Saccharomyces cerevisiae S288C: one gene and its partners. Changing the gene in region 2 together with the main gene of any one other region gives a genetic interaction. Each region holds a gene or a part of one and is shown on either strand. Other genes may lie near its edges.

What was found. Genes that interact genetically often act in the same process or in processes that back each other up.
Region 1: mutations in BEM3 (region 2) and ALK2 together harm fitness more than expected from each alone (negative genetic interaction), as found in Saccharomyces cerevisiae (2 studies listed by BioGRID).
Region 3: mutations in BEM3 (region 2) and CDC11 together harm fitness more than expected from each alone (negative genetic interaction), as found in Saccharomyces cerevisiae (3 studies listed by BioGRID).

Annotation. Positions count from the first base shown.
Region 1 is NC_001134.8:205,376-209,724, reverse strand, and holds ALK2 (protein kinase ALK2), read right to left. Parts: upstream 2,532-4,349; coding exon 501-2,531; downstream 1-500. Other genes in the region: HIR1 (Hir1p), read right to left, coding at 1-72; YBL008W-A (uncharacterized protein), read right to left, coding at 77-316; LAA2 (Laa2p), read left to right, coding at 2,776-3,618; bifunctional glycerol-3-phosphate/glycerone-phosphate O-acyltransferase SCT1, read right to left, coding at 3,908-4,349. UniProt on the Saccharomyces cerevisiae protein: Serine/threonine haspin-like protein kinase involved in cell cycle regulation.
Region 2 is NC_001148.4:329,156-338,467, forward strand, and holds BEM3 (GTPase-activating protein BEM3), read right to left. Parts: upstream 6,332-9,312; coding exon 2,945-6,331; downstream 1-2,944. Other genes in the region: HOS3 (histone deacetylase), read left to right, coding at 451-2,544; YPL113C (glyoxylate reductase), read right to left, coding at 6,798-7,988; PEX25 (Pex25p), read right to left, coding at 8,281-9,312. UniProt on the Saccharomyces cerevisiae protein: GTPase-activating protein (GAP) for CDC42 and less efficiently for RHO1. Negative regulator of the pheromone-response pathway through the STE20 protein kinase.
Region 3 is NC_001142.9:574,854-578,596, forward strand, and holds CDC11 (septin CDC11), read right to left. Parts: upstream 1,749-3,743; coding exon 501-1,748; downstream 1-500. Other genes in the region: HOC1 (alpha-1,6-mannosyltransferase), read left to right, coding at 1-318; MIR1 (Mir1p), read right to left, coding at 2,402-3,337. UniProt on the Saccharomyces cerevisiae protein: Septins are GTPases involved in cytokinesis that assemble early in the cell cycle as a patch at the incipient bud site and form a ring approximate 15 minutes before bud emergence, which transforms into an hour-glass shaped collar of cortical filaments that spans both sides of the mother-bud neck.

The sequences.
Region 1 (4,349 bases), on a different chromosome or scaffold from region 2:
ATCGACTGTGTATATTTCATATTTTCGCGATTCTTCACGGTGAGCCAACCATGGAAACTTTACCACTTTCATGTTATCAGAGACCTTTGGTTACTGGCAATTTTATTATGCTTCGTTGGTAAGCCTTAATTATTTTATGAATGTTCGCCAATATTATATGTTTCTGCCACCTAAACCAGTAACTTCGTTTTATTTTTGTTGCGATGCGAGATGATTGATTTTGAATATTCTTACGATTACAGTAGCAGTCAACCTGAAAAAGGCAAAAGAAAAATAACGACTTACAGAGGATAACAGTACAAGGGTTCATTTTCATCTGTAAAACATTTTAAAAATGTGCTTTCAGTTTGTGGGGCAAGCTAAAGATAACTGTTCTCAGAAAGAGTGTTCATATTATACTATTTATTTCCTTTCCATTACAAATTGATGTACGTAATTTTTTTTTGCTTACAAATCATTAAGAAGGATACAAAAGCTTGCACCTTATTACTACGATGTCTTTACTGCATTATTTCTCCCTTCAAAGATAACAAATCACCGCAAGTTCTTATAACAAGTTCCTTTTTGAAAATTGTTTTGGAATGTTTTCGAGCAGGATCGAGTAAGTGCGTCAACTCGATTAAGATATTTTCTTCCCGGTTCAAAGCGCCGCTGACTACGGCTTTTTTGGCCATTTTTAGCAGGCTGCTACTTAGGTGATATAACCATAATAGGTTTGTTCTTGGTTCAAATGTAGCCCAGGATATTGGCTGAGGCAGCATGCTTCTCATCAGTTCATATATCTCGAATTGAAGAGTCCCCCGGCCTTGGAAGAAATAATGATGGTCTAATCTTGTATAGGAAGCCTTATTGTTGTCTATATTCAAGAAACGACAGCACTTCATATCAATTAAAGTAACATTCCCTTTAGAGTCTATCAAAATATGGTCCAAAGTTAGATTCCTGTGTTCGAGCTGAAATTTGGATTCAGCAACATATAAAATACTGCTGCACTGCCAGAAAATAGACAATGCTTGAGAGTAATCAATGTTAGAGCACCTTGATAGAGGAGTTCCCTGGTATTTGAAAAATAAGTACAGTATCAAGTTTTGGTCATTTTCACATTGATTTGAGGGCACAACATAAGCTTGCAGTAAATTGGCGACACCGCTAGTTCCTTGTATTAACCGTAATGATTTCAATTCATGTAAGGATATCAAGTTTGAAGTAGTCAAATCACTTAGAGCCCCTAGACATACTTTCTTGCAAATGAGTGAAGTTTGCATATCGCTATGATAAGTTTGCCAAAAGTTATGAGACAGCTGAACCGATCTAGTATTCAACGTAAACAAGCCTAATGACTGAGCTTCACGTAGATCATGTAATATATACTTAACATCACAAAGTTGTAATATTTGTTGCAAAATTGAATCATTGTAGTCCAAAGTGTTTATGGGAGTGACTTCTGAAGATAAGGATGCCAATGATGTTGAATTTTTCAATTTCAGTTGAATCTTGTCCTTTGAGACTTGGTCTGGAACAGGCAATGATATTTGGCAAGTTTTTTTGATCGGATGATTCAGTTCTTGTGTATTTCCTTTACGCCTTACTTTGAGCTTATTTAGTGAAGAATGTGATGTTTTATGCTTCAAACTTCTAAAGGAAAGGTTCGATGATGAATGTTTGTGGTTTAGCTCCTTCGTGCTCTGATGATCGGGCATAATAAATCCAGAATTCCTCTTCTTCTCTGTGTGTTTGCCACCACCAAAAATAGAATTGTGAAAACTTGAAATTGAAGACTTCTTTTGTAACGAATTGGTTGGTTTTGGCTGAACAAAGTTCGGATCTTGGTCATTCACAGATCTGGAAGATAGCGACCTCGACAATAGGTTATCATTTTTCCAGAACTTCCACTTTGAAGAAGAGGTGGTAGAAGTAAAGGAATTAACTGAGTTCACACTGGATGAATGAACATGAGAACTTGTCTTCTCGTCACCCCAGCATTTGAAATCACTACCGCTCCGAAACTTAAGTGATCTAAAATCTTTAACAGGCTCATCCCTTGATAAAGTCGATTGGTTTGAAATAGGTCTCAAGGGTGTACGAAACTTGGAGTTAGTCACCTTTGTAAGACCTTGCTTCGACAACCTTTTAGATGGAGAGAGCAGCTTGTTTTCCGATAGCACCGACTGAGATACATTTTCTTTGTTTGAAGAGTGAGCGGTATCATTAATATTAATTTTATTGAAGAGTTGTTTGAGCGATGAACCTGTAGAAGATCTTTTACCATAGTAATCATCGTTTTCGATGGTTTTACCTACAGGCCTTGTTTTGGATGTTGGAGAATCTGAAGAAGTAAAAAAGGATTGACTCTCATCTTCTGCTGAACCCTTGTGCGAAGTGATTTTGTAAACTTTTCTTCCTACATCCACTGCGGGGCTTCCCATGGATGAAGAATTTAATGAGCTGTCGGCATCATCGCTTTCTGCTACTTCGAGAGCAAAATACCTTCTGTCAGTCATCTGTTGATCTGCTACCGCATCAAAATTCATTTTCTCAATACAAATAGCGCATGTATGTGTGTTTGGTGAAATGATTTTACTACAACTAAATATATTAATACCAATACGCTTTAAGTTATTGTTTACTATTTTCGCTTTTCGAGAAGAGAAGATGTTACAAAAAGTTTCGCGAATTGCTATCAAAACTGAAAAAAAAAAAAAACGTTAGGCGTATCACAAACGAGAATTTAAGGTGTAGCAAGATAGAAAAAGGCACCTCTTTCAAAGCAAGCAAATGAGCGATAGAGATCAGATAGAACCTGTCACAAATGCATTAGATGCAGAAAGTGATTCTAGTGATGATTTTGGGAATTTTTCAGATGCCTCAGTTGAAAATGACCTCTATAACCAGAATTCTACTTTAACGACGTCTTCCGAATCTGTAGTAGATAACTGCTTGAATAAGATACTACCAAAGGGAGAATTTGACCTGGAAGAAGAAACCATAAAGAATGACTGTTTCAAGCTGAGCAAACTTATTGAAGATGAACGACCCCATGTCATTTATGAACAACTCGTACAATTAGATCCTGTGTTACAGCCATTCATATGGAATAAATCTCATATACGCAGAAACTTGCTCCACATTTTGAGATTATCGGATAATAATGGCTCTGAGGGTGTTGGTACGAAGAGGGAGGAAGAACCGTTGAATGATGAGTTGTTCAAAAGGATATGCGATGCAGTGGAGAAAAATGAGCAAACGGCTACTGGTCTCTTCCTGAGGGATAATTTCAAAATTGACTATACACCACCAATGACTTTAAAATCTCTTCAAAAGGAAGAGGAGCGTGAGCAAGAGCAGCATATACCGCAATTGCTTATGGCAGATTTTACTAGTATGGATGAAGAATCTTTACGCCAATACCACGATACATTGTGTCAATCCATTGACTTTTTGGTTAGTAAATCAAGATCATTGAAGAAACAACAGCGAGACCTCCTAAAGGATAAGACAACTTTTGAAAATGTAGTGACGAATTTGACAGGACATACCCAAAGACTACAGCGAGACGAAATTGCATTGTATAACAAAAAGCGAAACAAAAAGAAAAGGTTCAGTTGGGTAGGATACTAATCGCCGTCTCGGCAAAGCAGGTTGAACGTTGAAGTTTGAAGAGAATAAAATGTTATTAGTAGCATAGGGGACCAGACCAAAAGTCGTAAAAGAGCAATATACTTTTTTATAAAACATACAATTATACAATTAGTCCCCCCCTCAAGAAATAAAAAGCCCCTGTGCGAGGGATATACATAAACATTGAGCATTAATATTTACAACTCCCAATGAGCAATAATGGGTTTATTACATAAATAGAACGGCGAAAGATTTAGTTTCTAGTATCTTCACCGTCAGTAAATGGCATCTACGCATCTCCTTCTTTCCCTTCTTCTTCTTCTTCCTCTTCTTCTTCTTCCTCTTCTTCTTCCTCTTCCTCTTCCCTGGCAGTATTTTCACCAATTCTCTTGTTTAAGACGGCCTGTGCGATTTTACTTGCTAATCCATTTTTTTCCTCCAAGATTTCGTTTTCTACCTCAAATTCGGAGGAAGAAGAAGGTGCAACGGATGTCGAAGCTAAGGAAGACTCTGACTTACGATGAAAAGTAGAAGAGAATAATGGAATGTTAGAGAGGGAATTGTCACTATTGACCAATGAGACGCCATCGGAATCTTGGTTATGGTGTTCATAGGCATCGTGGTTGTCACGTTGGCTGATGATAGGTGATGACGAATCTTTTTCTTGTCTTTTTATTTTCTGTTTTCTTAGCATTTTCCTGCGATTCAATTCTGAGGTTTTTCGATCTTCT
Region 2 (9,312 bases):
ATTCTGTGACTGTTATTTATTTACCCTCGTAATATTAAAAATGTCCTATACAATTTCTGTAATAAAACCTAATTTTTTTAGGACCCTTGAGTGTTACCCTGCTCATGTTTTTATTTTTGTTTTAGAGAAATGTAAACAACAGTTTGGGAAAGTTTCAAGAATTGTAAACAACTAATCAAGGGATAATACTATTTTACTCTTTCCTTTAAACATGAAGAACTATTTTTTGTTTACGTTTTTTTCTGAATTGAACAATAAGATCTTGTTAATTTTTTTATCGCTTGATCTATTATCAGATCTTCTCTTTTGAAAAACTAGTCCTTTTCCAAATTACAAACTTTCTTTTCGTGTGGAGTTGATCAGTTCAGTTTCTCCAATACTTCTTAAGTCACTGAAAATATAACGAAAAAAAGGGCTCTGGAAGTAAACAGAGAAATTCGACGATATAATATGTCTTCCAAGCATTCAGATCCATTGGAGAGATTTTATAAGCAATTTCAAGCATTTGTTCAAAATAACCCTAATGTCATATCGGCAGCTCGAGCTGCCGCACAAATACCGGAATCTGCAAAAGCTGTTGTAGTACTATCCCCATATTCTTTACAGCATGTGTTCCCGAGAGAATGGGTAACAAAATCGTATAGGAAAACTATAGTCGAACGACCAGAAAGATTATTAGCAAGCTCGATGGGTATATCAGCTGCGATTACAATGTATCCATCCCTTTTCACCTTGAAATCCTCGCATCAAAGGAAAGGTTCATTGATGGCACCTCATGTGCTTAAAGTTCATGGCAGTAGCTGGCCGGCTGAGTTAATTGAACTTTGCCAAATGGCAGATGCTAAATTGCTAAAAGGCGAAATCGAAGTCCCAGATACTTGGAACTCAGGTGATATATACTTGAGCTCAAAGACAATTAAAGCTCTACAGGGAACAATTGGGGCCATTGAAACTGGTGTTGACTCAATTTTCAAAGGACCATCTGCAGAACATATTAGTAACAGAGCTTTTGTTGCTATACGGCCTCCTGGTCATCATTGCCACTATGGTACACCATCCGGCTTTTGTCTGTTAAACAATGCACATGTAGCCATAGAATATGCGTATGATACTTACAACGTCACGCATGTTGTCGTGCTTGATTTCGATCTACACCACGGTGATGGGACCCAAGACATTTGCTGGAAACGTGCGGGTTTCAAACCTGAGGAGGAACCTGAAGATTCATCTTATGATGATTTTGGTAAGAAATTTGCCGAATTTCCCAAAGTCGGTTATTTTTCTATGCATGATATAAATTCATTTCCAACAGAGTCGGGATTTGCCACAAAGGAGAACATTAAAAATGCATCTACCTGTATCATGAACTCTCATGACCTAAACATCTGGAATATTCACTTATCCAAATGGACAACCGAAGAAGAATTCAATGTATTATACAGGACAAAATATAGAACTTTATTTGCTAAAGCAGATGAATTTTTCAGGAGCGCAAAACTAGAAATGAATCAACAAGGGAGACCATTCAAAGGTTTGGTTGTCATAAGCGCAGGTTTCGATGCATCAGAATTTGAGCAAACTTCAATGCAAAGGCATAGTGTCAACGTTCCTACAAGTTTTTATACAACGTTCACCAAAGATGCATTGAAATTAGCACAAATGCACTGTCATGGCAAAGTTTTGTCTCTAATGGAGGGTGGATATTCTGATAAAGCTATATGTTCTGGTGTTTTCGCACATTTGATCGGTTTACAAAACCAAGATTGGGTTAAAGAATGGGGGTCTGAACAAGTCGTTAAAGAGATTGTTCGTGGTTGCAAACCGGCTTGGAAACCCTATAAGACAAAAAGAGCAAAAGATGTCATAAGAATATGGGCAGAAGAAGTTATCAGGCTGGGACGAGCAATGATACCGGAATTCGATGATATCATTTTTAAAGACGCAGTTAACAGCGCACCTTCTAATTCTCTACTAAAGGCTACTGTCGAACCAGCATCCACGTCGACAATTGCTCAAAGAATAATCAGATCTCATAGAAGCAACGCTTCCCCAGAAAAAGAACTTCATGAAAACAAGCCGAGAAGCACGGAAAAACAGGAACAAAGGGAAATTAGAAGCGATACCAAGGTCAAGCAGCTCTCGTCAAATAATAGAGCAGCTGAAACCCAAATTCCGTTTTTGCAACAAGAATTTTCCAGTGAGGATGAAGATGAAGAATACGTTTACGATGAAGAATTGAACAAAACTTTCAATCGCACGGTGGAGGATATTACCATTGATGATATTTCTAGACATTTGGAGACCTTAGAAATTGAAAAAAAAGGTGATGAAGATTCAGACCATGAGCTAAAAGAAAAAAATTGGAAAAACTCGCACCAACGCCGTCTACAAGGTAATGGAATGTATAAAATTCCCTCCAATACGAAACCGCATCGCATAAGACAGCCTCAAAACGCAAATACACCAACTTATGACGATAGTGATATATCAATGATTTCTCATGTTTCAAGAAAACATACAACAAGAAGTGGTGGAAGATGGTGATACCAATGCATATATAATGTTGTCTTGAACCCACTAAAGAAGTGACGCATATATTACTTTTTTGTATTTAGTAACACAATTTTTCTATTTTTATATTTCCTTGTATAGTTAGTAATTTTAATTTTTTTCCTTCTTTATCTCAGCTCTTCGACCATTTGGTCAAGAAGTTAGTTTTTTTCTCTTATTTTATTTGACAATATACTAATTTTATTATATGGTATTGTAAATAACATTTGAGGAATAAAAAGACAGTCACTCTATAAGCTTTATCAGCCTGACATTTTTTTATTATTACAAATATATCGTTGAAAGAAAGAAGCCTCTATACATCTCGCCCTCTTTCTATCATTAAATCAATGGAGGTTTACTGGCAACGTTATATTTCTACAATTTTAGACCATCAAACCTGAGGAATATGTATATCTACTTTCTCCCTTTCCTCTTCTTTAACTGGTTCACCACCCTGAAATATACACGCAAAGTCAGTGATGAATGGTTGAAGCATACTAATTGGAATATTTAGAGTTGGGGAAAACACGATGCATAAATTTCTTAGATTCATCTTATTAAACTTACTATTCTCATTGATCCTTACCAGCAGTTCAAAAAGAGCATACATCAACGATAGGTTAGCGTGAGGAACTAGGCCAGATTCAATAAGTTCCTTAAACCCCAATGATATTTGAACAGGATTATTATGATTTTCATCAACTACTCTTTTAAACGACAAAAATTGTTCGTCACCAAATAATAAATGGGGCAACTTTCTCAAGTACAACTTTAGTAACCCACTTACAGTATTCACACCAATGTAAAGACTTGGAGATGCCTCATCATCTTTAGCTTCAATACTTTCATTGTACCGACATAAATCTACATCGTACTCTTTATCAAACCTTTCTTGTAAAGTTTTGATAACTGTACTGGACCCGCTTAGTCTAAATATGCCTTCTTCCTGGATACCACGGTTTTTGTAAAGATACTCTAAGCAACGATAAACTACACTCGGTAAATCGTAAACGTTTTGGTACTTATGCGAACTCAATCTTAAACACGTTTCTAGTGACGAGCCAAATATTGCAGTGGACACATGTGGACCCGTAGAAGAATTTGACGAAGAGGATACTTCCATTAATTTTTTGCTTGGTGACTTAATGATAGAGTCAGGAGATGTTGGAGAATCCGAATCATTTGAAATTGTAATACCTATATGGTTCATTGCACTCGCCGGGCCGGTTAATTTTTTAAAAGGGAATAAACTTCTCATTTTGGCTCTCCTACTATCCTTCTCCTCCTCTGCATTCCCGCTTGAACTTGCTAGGAAGTTAGAGTGAGAAGATGGGTTTGAGTCAATACCATCGCTATTAGCAATGTTATTGCTACTATTACTAATATTGTTATTATTATTATATTCTTGGGTCAAATCAGTGACATATGATGGAGTATCGGTTGCTGAGATAGTTGCGTTTCCAAATTTAGAATGGTGTGTTCCTGCGCTCAAGTGAGATGCAGAATCAGTATCGTTTGCATTCCTCGAGCTAGATAACGATAAACTTTGTGAAGGATCAATGTAATCACTAAACGCAGAAAGCCATAATTCACGTTCCTTCGACGTTTCAGTACAAATATAATACTTTGTTGAGGTTGACAGTCCGCTTTTCTTATGCTCAGTGATCAAAAACCCATTTCTCGTTCCAAATCTATCTTCAGGGAGATTGGGTATAAGTTCTATAGAAGATTGTCTCAATTTAATAGTTTCAGTCAACTGATTTTTGTCAAACAATTGTAAAACATCATCGCGCAAAATACCGTACCGAACTCTCCATGTACTATTACCTGTTAGAGTCTTTGGTCTTCTCAGCAAAAGTGATCCGTCTTTCACATTATCATCCATCATTGGAGGTGTCATTACTGTATCTGTACTAATAAATTGGGCGATTTTTAAACCAACATTTTTGGGAAATTCAGGGACACTGAATATGCTTGTATAATACTGATTCAATATGTTCTTTCGCGTATCCACTTTTGTAGGTGATAAAGTCTGAAATAATTGTCTATCAGGTAACGTGGGCAATGGTAAATCGGGAACATGTGATTTCATATATACATCTAATTCGCGAACTTTATGAATAGATTTTGAAAATTTAAACATCTCCTTACCGGATTTCCTGTCTATGATTGCAATTAAAATGGATAAATCATCTTCATTATCCCTGTACAATGTGCTCAGTACTTCAATCTGGATAGTGCCAAAATCCTCCGGTTGAACGAATAATGGAATATCCGACTTAAGACTTTGGGCCACAGACTTCACGGTGCTCACGCTACTTGCATGAGGTCTTCTAAGTGTCTTCAACGAACCTTGGGGTGTTGAGCTAAATGTATTCAAGGTATTGGTTGAATGGATGGATGCCGTTTCTCCAAGTTGTTTTTGTTTTGATGAACTTTCCACGGGAGGATTTGGAGGAAGAGAAGCATTTTGACTTGTTGTTGACAATTTTGTAGAAAGATTGGGGAGTGATGAAGTTAACACAGGTTTCTTTAAATTTTTTGCACTTTGAGCACCAAAATTATCATCCTTTTTATTCAAGATAACCGGAGAAGCCAAATGGCTTGATAAAGGAGTAGAGTTTTTTATATTTCCACTAGAAGTAGGTGAGAAAAAAGTTGGAGGCGCTGGAGGTGGGGGTAAAGATTCGTTAATCGTGGATTTTATGGACAGAGGATCTTTACTGTCCGTATTGACTAGATCCTCTTCGCCAAATGAGGAGTCAAGTAATTGGGTGAAGTCGTCAAGTTTTTCTTTAGATGCTGGAGAGAAACCCAAAGCCTTGTTTTCACCCTCCTTGACTTCCAAAAGGGATGATGGACTTTTGGCTGCTGAAGTAGGAGTTCCAGTAGTGTATGCAGAGGATGTTATAGAAGAATAAACGCGGTCATTTTTTTGTATCGCGTCATTAGTTAGTTGTTGACTTTTACTTTCAGTCAGCTCATCTAAATTATTAGAGGTACTGGCCTTTAATGGAGAATGCAAATGGTTGTTGATAACAGCCGTCATTCTGTTAGGATTTTGAGGGGAACGCAAACGTTCTTGCAATGGAGATTTCGAACCTTTATTAGGTGATTTTATGGTTATCCTAGACGTCGTATAGGTAACAGAGGCAGCTGGGCTAGCCAACTGTTCTGAATGTATTTTTGTAGGGCTTGAGACAGATCTATTGATAATTTTGGGAGATGAGAAGCTACTATTTGCTTCTATTTCATCGTTTAGTATCATGTTCTGTAAATGCTTCCTACTTATTGAAGTATTTGATGTAACACCTATTTGAGGTACTGTAGGCGTTACACTTGTTTCAAGTGCAACGTCTGAACCTTGTTGCAATGGAGGGGACAATGTCGGTATTGGCAAATTAAGACTCTTGATATGCGCTTTCCTTTCAGCAGATCTTGGGGGTAACACAAATGATTGATCGTTAACGTATGAATCTCTTGAGTCATTTTGAACTTGCTCAAGCACAACTTCTAAGGAAGCTTCTCTGTTTTTTTGTAACATATCAATAACCTTTTCCAAACTCTCAATTTCAGTTTCATATTCTTGGACTTGTAGCTTTAGCTTAATGTTTTCCGTAAAAATTTCATCATAGGACGGATTTCTTTCTTTTCCTGAACATGTTCCTTTTTCTATATGTTCTATAGATTTGTCCTTTTTGGATCTATGATCATTGTACTGCGCCAACAATTCAAGGGTGGTACTACCACCATGAGTTGTGGTCAAATTATCTGTCATTGCGTGCTGTTAGTTGAGTGTGAGTTTATTCTAGAATATACACACAGATACTCCTAGCAGCCAGTGTTTCAACAAACGTGATGTTGTATATGCCTGATGTAATCACGAACTCGAACAAAAGGCAAAATGGTAGAAGGCAAGGACAAAGAAGAAAAGAGAAAAAACTTCCAGATACAAAGCTAACACACAAAGGTAAACGGTGATTAAAATGGATATATCGTTGATGTATTTAACAATCTTGAAAAATTCCGTTTAAAAAACATACCAATACGCGCAATAAAAACGGTTCTTATCTGGTACTTTACCTAGTCAGACGATTATTGTTCTTTATAAAACGGCCGCGTTTTTTTTCCAACATCACCGCCGCCATATAACTTTCGACATTCTTAGAGTTGTGGTATAAAGAGCAATGCATATACGTATGTAATCCTAATTGAAATGCTATCTTTGTAACATAATGAATGGTTCAGTTGAGCACATACTTACCATCACCTCCCTCGACAAATATGTCCTGCACATTCTCGAGTGTGATGAGTGTCTGCTTTATGACCATGTCGGCAACTGTGCTGCCGATATGTGGCAAAGCTGTAACATCCCATCTGCGAAGTAACTCTTGCTTAACGCGTGTTTCCTCATTTTTAAACACATCGAGACCACAGCTTGCCACTTTTCCAGATTCAAGAGCGTCTAGTAGCACATCTTCATCTATGCATGTGCCTCTCCCAACGTTAACTATCCTGACACCATCTTTACACCAGGCCAAACTTTTACGATTGATAATATTGTTTGTAGAGGCCGTACTGGGCAAGGCCAAAATGATCAAATCCGCATTCTTCCAAGTATTTGGATCATCTAGATCAGAATGGTACTTAGCGTTGTAATCAAGTAGACTCTTTTGGACGGGACCGGTCCTTTTGTAGTATTCAATGCTCATGTTGAACACTTTGTGCAAGTTAGACCCTATATTTTGTCCGATGGAGCCAAACCCCAATATTAGAACTTTTTTATTCATTGGAGATTCCATTTTTTTCCCGCCAACCGTGTACTTTTCTGCTAAATGTACCACTTTCCTATCCTTGTTAGGCTTGCATTTGTCTGTTCGAGAGGGAAATTTCATTTCCTGACCGTGGTAACTATCTGTAACAATTTCATACGAGTCACTAGAGATATATTTCTTACACTGTTCAACATTACCATTTTCCACGTATTTAAAACAATATTCCCAAAATGAAGTCATTCTAAAGCAGCTAATTGCTAGGAAAATAGCCAATTCTGTGACATGGTCAGCAGCATGTGGTCCAATGTTGCATAAAGTGATACCTTTCGATCTTAATAACTTACCGTCAATAAAGTCACAGCCGACCCATGGTACAAGGATTACTTTTAAAGATGCGGGGAAGAATTCAATATAACTCGAAGGGTTTCCTAACACAGTGAAAAACTCCTCAGTGAGCCAAAAGCCGTTTATTCTATGAGTTTCCAAAAATTTAACAAAATCATCCTTTGTGGACATCTCATATTTATAGAATTCTACCCTTTCTGCCAGTTTGCGATATTCAGGAAGATGACTGGCGACTTCCCATTGGGTTTTATAAGGCACCAAAATTCTTGGTTTGGCAGAATAAGTTACATCTGCTATGTCAATTGAAGTAATCATTGTTATTTAAAGGTTGCTACTTTTGTACACTCAAGTATTTTTCTGTATTTGAGAGAGAGCTATTTGTACTCCACACTCCACCTTTTAGATCTGCGTCAAAGTGTCAGAATAAACATACCGTAAAACGGAATGACTACCGCCACCCCAATGACATAAAAACGGAAGAAAAAGAGCAAAAACCGAGCGCCAAACTATCTTATTCAACGAATCAAATAACAATACAAATGCAGAGGTAAAACATTATTCGCCACATATATATGTACATATCTATATGTATACATATTTTTATATATCAATCTTTTGAAGAGCAAAGTGACCTCTTTGTTGTTATCCAAAGTTTAACCAGTCCAGTTAAGCCGGATCCCAGGGACAGAACGGCATACGTTCCCTTTGGAGTTTTTAAATTTAGAATATCTGATGTATTAGCCATGCAATCAAACGATAATCTTGCAATATCTAAATAAACAAGTGTCTTTTCATCCTTGATGGCCTTTAGTTGTTTGTGTATTAACACCTCTGCGTCGTTATTAACATTTAGGTCATTTAACAACTGTTTCCTAATTGGCGATTGTGAGCCATCGTCTTTATGGGCCTGATGCATCAGTATGGGTGAGAGTAGTAACGCGTTATTTTGAACTTTTAGTTGCACTTCCAATTCTAATTGTCTCTTCTGTAAGCTTTGCAGGTTGAGCCAATGGTCCTTCAAGCTTAAAAGAATGTCGTATTGCCATGCAAGAGACTCTTGTCTACTGACAAAGGAATAGAATGATTTATTTGTCCATATTTTCAATTTGTATAGCAAGTCTAATTCATCAAAGATACCATAATACAAGTCCAAAAATTCTCTCAATGAAGCTTCATTAAACCATATTTTCTTAATTTGGTCAATTTGAAAGTTGCACTTTCTGGTTTTATTGAATTTCCCCAAGAAACTGCACACTCGGAATGGTGTGCCGCCAAACCTTAAAATATATCTAAAAGTACTTAATTGTTGACTGATAAAATCAATTTTCTTGTCAAAATTTCTCAAAAGAGACAGGAGAAGTACTTTAATTACCGTGATTGGATGCCTTAGTGCGACTTTTACAGTCAGATTTTTCAAAATCTTGGTATAGTACGTTAATACGGAAGGGTCCAAAACAGTTAAATTTCGCTTAGACTTTTCGATAAACAGTTTTAATATATCCAGAGCGTATTTGATAATTTTGGCTAATTTGTCTCTACCAGATAGAGAATCCAATATATATTTTAAGATGGTAATATTATCCACCATCTTTGTTTTTGCTTGAGAATCCTCATCATCACTTCTCGAGGATTCAGTATG
Region 3 (3,743 bases), on a different chromosome or scaffold from region 2:
AAGAGGGACGACCAACTAAACGTCAATCTAAGGAATGATCTGAATATTATGAGTTGGACGGGTTCTGGGTTGTGGACTGACACTATTTTCACGTATTTCAATGACTTTATGAGAAGTGGTGTCAGGGAGAAGGTTACATGGAAATTATTCCATAACCTAAATCAACCAAAATTGCTAAGTGATGTTCTGGTCTTTCCAAAATTCTCCTTTAACTGTCCAAACCAAATCGATAATGACGATCCACACAAGAAATTCTATTTCATTACTCATTTGGCATCACAATTTTGGAAAAATACTCCAAAGGTGGAGCAGAAATAAGTACTTCTACGCAGATATAATAAGGAACTTTTTTGTTAATTTTTTTTTGCTGATCGATATTAATACTTTTTAAGAATGAAGAAAAAAAAAAAATAATATACCAGATGTATTTACTTATATACAACACTCACTCTTTATATATATAGAGAAAGAAGAAATAAGTGAGGAAGCCAAAAGCGGACTCATTCTTCCTGTTTGATTTTCGCCTCTTTTTCCAACCTGGCTTCAATTTCTCTTAATTCCTTTTCTCTTTGCAACAGTTCTTGTCTTTTCAACAGCAGTTCTTGCTGAACTCTCTCCTCAAATGCCTTTAGTCGCTCTTCTTCTAACCGTATTTGCTCCTCACGTGTCATGTAGGTTTCGTTATTTTCGCCAGTGCTTTGCCCGTGCATATCGGATGCTGGGTTGAGAACATCGTTATTAATATTATTACTTTGCTTGAAGGGATTTGTGTTTCTCCTTGTTGTGGTGGACGATGACGACGAACCATTCAATTTTGTCAGATTTGGACGTATGGATTCTGCCGCGACAGATTCACCTGATAATGCCTCGGTTCTATATCTTTCATATAATATCTCATGTGTGTAGTTTTTCAAGTCATGTAAATGAGAGATCAATAACGCATTCCTTAAGATAACAAAATCAGAGATCGATGAATCTTCCACGTCCAGTATGCCCCATGGATACTTTCTGCCACGAATTGTCCCAACATCGCCGCCCATTTCGTAAACTTCATTGGATCCAATAATAGCAAAAGGTAGAAGTGTACGTAGGTACATATTGGTTTCGTAATCTTCGTCTGATATTTCATCTTCATCGAAAGGGAAATTATAAATTGGCAAGTTCCATCTGTCGATATCCTCCATGATCAATTTTTTATTCAGTTTCAGTTCATCTCTTGTCAAGGAATCTGATTTGCTGATCACAGGGATGATGTTAACTAAGGATCCCAACTGTCTGATGAATTCCACATCAATCTCTTTTAAACCGTGGCCAGTTGGGTTGATTAAGTAAAGACAACAATGAACTCTGCCGTCCTTAAATCTTGGGTTTCTTCTCACACGACTTTCTTCCAATAAGATTTCATCATATTGGTGGCGAATGTAGTCGGAAATGATTTCGAAAGATGGAGAATTGTCGAGAGAATCACCGAATCCCGGAGTATCGATGATATTAAGTTGAATCTTGACACCTTCATCATCTTCTAATTCGACCGTCTCCTCTCTCAATTGTAAGTCTATTTCTGTGGACGTATCTGTGGGTAACAAGATTGTCGTCGAAGTGTCTACAACTTGCTGACCGCACAAAGTATTTATAAAAGTCGATCTACCAGATCCGGACTGGCCCACGATCATCACAGTGAAGGTTATACCTCTTTTCAAATGCTTTCTTTTTCTTAATGCAGAAGATGCGTCAATTATTCCGGACATGGCTGGTGGTTAGCAACTTTAGGCCTTGTGATGATTGACTTTCTAAACGGCTCCAGATCGGGTCGCCAATACGTGGTGTCTACCTATTTTACTTTTCGATCAAATACTTTTTTGTTTATTTTTCTTTATGTTAGAAGGCGGAAAAATAAAGAATACTGGCGATCCTGCATGGTCGGGTAACGACCCACGAGCATTGTGTTGTGTAAATATAGCCATATTTAAGCTATATTTATCTGTATAACATATACGTGTCCGTATGTGCCCGACCAAATATGTTACTGCGATGAAATGGATTGAGAACGATGTTTAAATGTTATGTTCCATGTTGTGTTTTCCACCAAAAAACCGTGAAGGACAATTCAATGAGCAAAGGGTTTAACGGAGCTATAACCTGCTTTTGTAGATGAAAAAATAGAAAATTCAAATATATATATATATATATATTTATAATAGCATGTTAATTTACAGATATTTGGACTTTTGCAAAGTCAGTAAATACATGGAATAAGAATACTAGTGATTGAATAGAGTACATTTAAACAGATTTATTTATTTCTTTCCTTTGTTGACTCTTTCTTAGAATATGAAAAAAAAAAGGGGCTCCGGTGGTGATGAGGAGAGAATATATATGCATGTATCAATCAAGACCATTTCTAATGACCACCACCACCAATTTCAATGGTTGGTGGGCAACCCAAAGTGCTCTTTAAAGAACCATAAATACCAAATTGCAAGGAGGTCAAGGTACCAACCATGACCAAACGAGTAGGCAACCCAGCAAAGGAACCGAAAAATCCTAACTGTTTGGCCAACTGAGCCAACAAACCGACTGTGGATTGGCCAGGAGCCTTCTTAGTCTTGTTGACCTTGGACAACAGAGTGTCTGCTGGCTGGGAAACAATGGCAGCGGCCAAACCAGCAGTCAAACCGGAAAGCAAATTCAACAAAGTAGTGGAAGTAGAGGACAATTTTTCTTTTGGACCGGCGAACCCGTAGTAGAACTCGGAGGCACGTTCAAAGACCAAGAATTTAGCAATGTTGTAAGGAATTTGCTTGAACAAAATTGGAGTGAACCCACTGTAGAAAGAGCCGATACCTTCTTCTTTCAAAATTCTGGAAAACCCTCCGACGAGTCCATTAGCGAACTGTGGTTGGGAGACCAATCTGATTCTAGTGGCTTCTAGGGGACACAAGGCAATGTCTGCCAAGAATTCGGCCATGGCAGCAGAACCCATGTAAACAGAGTTCTTGTAGCGAGAGGCGGTATCGTAACCCAAGTTGTCAATGAAGAACTTCTTGAACACTTCGTAACCACCGAACTTGAAGGCACCTTGGATAGAGTAACCCAACAAAGTAGGACCAAACCCGGTCAACAACGCACCAGCACCTTCTCCGGCGATGATTTGCTTGAAAGAGCCGACCATACCCTTGTTGTACACGGTAGGTTCCAGTTGGATTCTCGTCTTAACGACATCGATCGGGACCATACTGGAGTGAGTCGACCCGCACCCTATGGCGCCGGCTAGGGCGAATTTCATGTAGTCAGAGACAGAGTACTGTGGAATAGCAGGAGCAGCAGACACAGACATGGTGAGATGAGACTTTTTGATCTTTGTAGTTCTTCTTCTTGCAGATCACTCTGTTCTTTGCGATGGTTCTTGTAGATAAAAAGATCGGGAGGATGGATCGCACTTAAAAATCTTCTCGAAACGGGCCGCGGCCGGGCATGGGACCCGTTCTCGACGCTGATTGGCTAACGATGGTTGGGCAGAGTCTCAGCTGCTGCTTGCTCACATTCGACAAAAGACTAGAGGAAAGCAGTACCATGCTGCGATACTGTTGCATCGCAGCATTCCGCTGTCCAAAAACAATACCTGTTGTATTGTTTGAGGCTGGCAGGCGCTTGGGTAGAAACAACACCCGATACTGGTGACAGGGCTATCTATAAATATTAAAACTTGACTCCGCAATTCGTCGTAAACTGCCTTAACCATC